2 linked regions of the Arabidopsis thaliana genome follow. Each later gene encodes a partner of the first gene's protein in a complex. Each region holds a gene or a part of one and is shown on either strand. Other genes may lie near its edges.

Evidence for each region.
Region 2: AT5G02502 (region 1) and AT1G11560 share a complex: the UniProt entries of both Arabidopsis thaliana proteins name them as parts of the oligosaccharyltransferase (OST) complex.

What each region holds. Positions count from the first base shown.
Region 1 is NC_003076.8:557,733-560,818, forward strand, and holds AT5G02502 (Oligosaccaryltransferase), read right to left. Parts: upstream 1,504-3,086; 5' UTR 1,410-1,503; intron 980-1,409; coding exon 872-979; 3' UTR 553-871; downstream 1-552. Other genes in the region: AT5G02510 (UDP-glucose 6-dehydrogenase), read left to right, coding at 1,710-1,916, 2,388-2,675, 2,759-2,935, 3,039-3,086. UniProt on the Arabidopsis thaliana protein: Subunit of the oligosaccharyl transferase (OST) complex that catalyzes the initial transfer of a defined glycan (Glc(3)Man(9)GlcNAc(2) in eukaryotes) from the lipid carrier dolichol-pyrophosphate to an asparagine residue within an Asn-X-Ser/Thr consensus motif in nascent polypeptide chains, the first step in protein N-glycosylation.
Region 2 is NC_003070.9:3,880,087-3,883,376, reverse strand, and holds AT1G11560 (Oligosaccharyltransferase complex/magnesium transporter family protein), read right to left. Parts: upstream 1,751-3,290; 5' UTR 1,590-1,750; coding exon 558-1,589; downstream 1-557. Other genes in the region: NTL (NTF2-like protein), read right to left, coding at 1-160; XTH8 (xyloglucan endotransglucosylase/hydrolase 8), read left to right, coding at 3,091-3,290. UniProt on the Arabidopsis thaliana protein: Subunit of the oligosaccharyl transferase (OST) complex that catalyzes the initial transfer of a defined glycan (Glc(3)Man(9)GlcNAc(2) in eukaryotes) from the lipid carrier dolichol-pyrophosphate to an asparagine residue within an Asn-X-Ser/Thr consensus motif in nascent polypeptide chains, the first step in protein N-glycosylation.

The DNA of each region.
Region 1 (3,086 bases):
AACTGTCTCGCTGGTCCCAGTAAGTTCTACTTACAAGGAGCTACAACAAATTGGTCATAACCGGAAAGCGTTCAAGGATACTTTTAAGAGGTAATATCTCAACTAACTCTCTAACAAGACTACAAAAGAGAGCTGTAGAACTAACTATCTAGCAAGACTACATATCTATAGAAGAGAAAGACAGGTGAAGACATTAAAGCATGACCATTTAGCAAGGAGACACAGAGGTTTAAGAATGAAACAGCTCTTTGTTCAAATAGTCTAGGGTGGTGCATTAGAAGATTGATGCAATAGACAATAAGTATCACAACAGAGGCAATTCAAACAACCTAAACTTGAGAGTTACCAAAGGATGAATGAGTATGTACTCAACATAATCACAGAAACTCCAGTGAACCAGACTGTATAAAGTTATAAACATAGTAACGGTATCACATATGACATAACATCATGGAAAAAACTTTGGATGCAGATAAAGCTAACGCGAATCAAGTAAACCTGTAGTAAACCATGATTATATGGAGAAATTCATTTTAGCTAACTCTTTTTTCTCAAATACCCGATAACTGTGATAGAAGTAACAGAGCTACAGAGAAGACCTGAAGAACTGGGAAATCCAGGTATACCATATTCGCCCATGTATGCAATATGCTCTAAACAGAAAACTTGCATACTAAAACTTGAATGATTGAAACACTACGAAAAATGAAGTCTTTTAACTCTTAATCCATCCAAAACCACATTGTCAAAATACATTGATTACTCATCTACTGGCGAAACATCACGACCTATAGAATGCTAAAGACATATTGATTCCAACACATTTATAAGTTTTTTTTTTGTAGAAACTAACAAAGATGAAACCTCATTCTCATTCGAATTTAGGCTCTGCCACCACGAAATGGTATGCAATGACCATTATGAAGATGAAAATCCCCAGAAAATTGGCAAAGAAGCCGAGGTCTTGGTCGTCAAACATCTGTAACACCACACACAATTAACAATATGAGAAGCTTGGTATCAGACTTAGACAAAACTTGTTAAAAATCACCCACCAATCTACACTTTCAACATCATTTTCTATGAAGATGGAGCACATAGTCCAACACAATTAGGTTCATACGTCAGGAACAAGTTTCTTTACCAAAATCACTAAAAGAAAATAACTTTGACGAAATCCAGACATGAGTATAACATCAAAAACATGGAATACACAAAAATAAAAATAAAAAATTGATTGAATCTCATAGCAGTAAATAAAGAAAGAGTTGCATCATCATCACATCTATAAGTAATTGATCATATGAAATAGATTCAAGCCTTAAGATCTACAAATTCGCTACCATCTGAGAATGACGTATCCAAGGTAAAGACCGAAAAAAACAAATCAAATCTCTGAGTGTTTTTACCTTTGGAGAGCTCAAAAGATACAGACTTCCTTCTTTGATTCTTCCCTCTATCGACTCTACGAAGCAGATCGAAAAAGAAGAAGAACTGAAGAATGACTCTGGTTAAAGAGGTGGTTGACTCAAAAACAAATCGTTTGGTAATATGGTAAACGACGTCGTTTTACTTCTCAAAAAAGGAAAAAAGAAAGTGTGGCTGCTGGGATTCGAGCCCAGGTCTCCACGGCCACAACGTGGAATTCTTACCACTAAACTACAGCCACTTTGTTGTACAGTCTATAATATTAATAATTATATTACAATATGTTTAATTGCTCGTCGTTGTCTCTTCCTTTCTTCTTCACTGCAATTGCTCGACGTTGTCGCTTCCTTTCTTCTTCATCATCCCCGACGAATAAGAGAACCAAATGGTCAAGCTTTGGATCGCCGATTCGTTCATCTGAAACCGGGTCTGGATCCGATGACCCGGTTGCATCTTTGATCCATGTGTTCCCTACCATGGATCCTGAGGTTCGTTAGATATTGTGTCGTAAAGTTTCCATTTTTGACTGATGAACAATGCTACTACAGTAATTGCTCTTTTCATATACTTTAAGTTCATCAATCTTCCATTTAAAAAGTGCTAAGTTATATTGATGTAGTTCCTTCATGAAATGAACTAGGTAACAGTTTTGTGTAGCTATTGATTGATATGTCTTCATCTACAGATTAACATTGTGATAACCAAAGCCAAAGCCCTGCATTGCAGAGAAACTTTGATGCAACATTAGCCTTTGTTACTTCTGTGTTGTGAAAAACTGAAAATTGGCGACAGTTTTGTGTAGCCATTGATTGCATAGAAACTTGATGCAACATTAGTCTTTGTTACTTTGTGACTTGTGTTATGAAAATTGGTGATCTTGGCTGTTATGTTTTGCTACAAAAGTCTTTGGGAGTTTATTGCTAATGTAGTCTTTGTTTTTTGGTGGGATCTTGAATTAGTTTGTCAGAGAGGTTATGAGCAACAAGAATTACGTGTTTGAAGAGGCAAAAGAGAGTTTAAGCTCAATTTTGTTCAATGGGGATTCTGATAGAACAGAAGCTGGCTTTTTTGATGGATCTGTGGAAAGTTGGAACGATGAGGATATGATCGATGGAGCTAAATGGGTTGATAGACTTGTATCCGAGATGACAAAAGCGATAAACATTGATGACATGAGGCGACGTGTTGCAGTGATCTTAGAAGCTTTAGAGAGTATCATAAAGAAGAACACCAACGCCTCGAAGAAGGTATAAATTGATGACATTGATAATGCTCAGGTTTTCTTGGGCCTAGATAATATAACAAATAGAGAGCTCCCAATTCATTGCAGCTTGAATATGCGTCGATGAAGGAGAGTCTACAGAGTTTGATCAATGATAACCAAATATTGAAGCGGGTCATTGCGAATCAACATCAGCGTAGCTCTGAAAACGAAGAGAAGGCCAAACAAGTACTGCATTTGAGAGGCGTGGTGGGGCAGTACCAAGAACAAGTTCATAAGCTAGAGGTATAACTAACTTGCCTACTAGAAATTCTCGGAATTATCAATCTTATAAATCAGCGGATTACTGATTTTCCCTTCGTTTTCGTTTGTGGATATCATTCATCAGCTTAGCAACTACGCCATGAAACTCCATCTTCAAAGGTCACAACAACAA
Region 2 (3,290 bases), on another chromosome or scaffold:
AAGAAAGCGATGATCGATCGTTGTCAAAGAGATGGTAGTAGTGATTCACAAAAGCACTTGCCACTTCTTCTTCAATTCCTTTATTTGTCTCTGCCATAGTCAAAATTTCCAAAATAAAATTGATTTTCTTAGCAAAACCAAACAGTAGTAATATTAACATGAGCTCTCTTAAGTAATTAAATTCTAGGGTGTGAAGGAATTAGATGCTTAACTTTAAACAAAGCTGGAAGAAAAGAACAAAGAGAGAATCTTTTCACTTTTAAGAAGGTTTCTTGTGGGTCAAGTATTGCATACAATCTTTTTCCAAACCTTCACACATAGTAAAGCAACGATTATTTGGTAGAGTACTCTTTCTCAATGGATGCAAAGCAACACCATAAGCATTATAAGTCTTCGAGCAATCATTCCTCTAGTTAGCACAAATTCGTGAATCCTAAACTGCAATTATTGAATCTTTAAACTATAAACTTGGCTATATGCATGTTCAAGTATTGAAAGCCAAAACACTAACTAATCAGTTCCACAATCTTGAAAAACTAACCTTACGTGAAGATCACTCATCCCCGCCAACTCGATGGCCAATATGGGTAAATTTCATAACCAGTCTTCCAATTATCCAAGTAAACAACTTTCCTCACAGCCCAAAACGATATAGACAGAGCCAAAAGCATAGCCATCCTTTGCTCATCGAGTTTCTTGACTCGTACAACTACATTAGTAACAAACGCCAAAAGCAATCCAACAACAGTATACAAAAACCCTACAAAGAAACCTTCTGCTCCAAGCTGCATCTCTGATTCTTCTATAAAGAAAACAAACTTACTTGAATCTTCATAATCTTTGATATACATTGGCATTTCTCTAATGATGTTATGCATTGTCCCCGAGACGCTGAAGAAGTAGACGAAAACCGCGCCAACTAACCAGATTCTATGGTCATGGAGAAGTGTTTCTCCTTTTAGAATCTTCTTGATGAGAATCGGAGTCGAGATTATGATTATAGCAACGATGATTCCGATTTGTGTCTTTGATATGAGTGGTGGTCGTTGGATTGAACAAACGGTGAGTTTTGTTTGACGTTCGACGAACTCTGCCATTGATTCGGCTAATCCAGTGAAATCTCCACCGTCCATTTGATCTGATTCTGTTAAATTCTCTGTCGTGGGGCTAACGAGGGAAATGTGTGGTAGTGACTCGACGGCGAAGCGGCGGAAAGAAGCCTCGGAGTGAGTTGATTCGATCTCGCAGAAGAAGAGCTTTGTGCCGTTAGATTCATTGTTGTTGTTGGTGATGAAAGTGGCGGAGACGAGTCTGAATTCGCGGCGGAACTCTGGAAGACGTAGCTGGCTATTGCCGTGGAGATGAACGGCGTCGAAGAAGATGATGAGTGAGTAAGGTCTAGGAGTGGATACGGAGGTTATGAATTTGGAAACGTCGTCGTTGTTGAAGGAGATCACGCCTGATTCGGCGGTTGATCGGAGGGAGACTAGTTCGTTTTTGAGATCTGAATCTGATTTTGGATTCGCTAGGGTAAATAAAAACACAATTAAGATGAAGAAACGATATGAGAGATTCGTTTGAATCACCATTTTTAGATCACTCTCTGATTGGATTTGAAGAAGAAAGGAGATAGAGAGATCTGGAATTGCCGGGAAATACTGGAGAAGTGAAGAACTGTTCAAAATTCTAGGTGTTTATAGGTTTGATTGAACCTTCTTGATGAGTTAGAGGGTTTAGTTTTAAAGAAGGGAAAAAAAGGAAAAGAAATTGACAGCTGTGGGATTTGAACCCACGCCCTTTCGGACCAGAGCCTAAATCTGGCGCCTTAGACCACTCGGCCAAACTGTCTTGTTGTATGATATGTGAAACTTAAACATTCTATAATTAACAATAAAATTGATGATCACTTCTGGTTTCTCTTATTAGGACCGACATGCCGACAAGTTGAGATTCTTTTACAGGAAACATATGAGAAACCACTTAGTAATACAAAAAAGAGAGACTCATACATGGATTAGAGAGTTTACATAAAACTAGACCATGCATATTTATTTCATCGCTCGTAAATCATTTAAATGGTATTATTAATGTATAAGAAATCATTTTTGTCATTATCATAATCTTAATACTACTCTATTATAGTCTAAAGTAACAAGGTCGAGTTGCATATACTTGTGGTATTATATAAACCTCAGTCTACAATCTTAGATCTGAAACATTCATATCCATACAAAAAATAGTAATTATGTAAAAATGTAAGAATACCGGATTATGCAAGAGACAATCCAATAAACTAATCTTTGTCAACCTAATAATTTAGTAACTCCAGGTGTATTATTTCCCTGCTTTCTTATTCATAACGTGCTTGTTTCACGTGCCTTGTCTTGGGCTAACAAAATATGAGAGAGGCAAGGCAAACTCTTTCTTTTGTTGAACAAAATATTATGTTCCGAAGCATGTTCGCCTATATTATTTGGGTTTTGTTAGACATATTCCCATATCAGATTTACTAAGTGAAGATTAACCAAAGAATTAAAGTACAGAGTTAAATAATGTTTTTGGTTTTGCTTTTACATGAACATTTCTATGGATCCCACTTCCACTTGGTGGCAGCCTGGAGATCCAATTCTCCATGTTCTGCTGTTGTTTTCTATATTTCCTATAGTACCCTTGCTAGCTCATCAATATGGTTCAAATGACCTATCTCAGCAACTTAATGAATAAACCGGTCGGCTTTTAATTAGCTAAACCGTGTGTATTATAACCAAACAGTTTACACTTGATTAACATAAAAATCATTGAGTTTTACTGTTAGTTTTCTTTAATTAAACTTTTTCATTTACCCTTTTTGCTTTCTTTTACAAATTATCGTAAACATCATTATTACATGAAAATCTTAGAAAAAAAACCGTATCAAAAGTCTAAACGCAATAGCATATTAAAAGAATTATTAATGGTCAAAACAGTCATTTCCCCGGTCTTTATAATAAAAGCAAGAAAGCTCTATACTCTTCTCACTCACGGAACAAGTGTAGATTGCATTACCTCTCTCTCTCTCTCTCTTCGAAATATTCGAAGTAGAGACAACCAATGGAGACGGAAAGGAGGATCATAACGAGCTGTTCTGCCATGACGGCTCTGTTCTTGTTCATGACGGCTCTAATGGCGTCGTCCTCTATCGCAGCAACACCGACACAATCGTTTGAAGATAATTTCAACATTATGTGGTCTGAAAATCACTTCACGACTTCCGATGATGGAGAGATCTGGAATCTTTCCTTAGATAACGA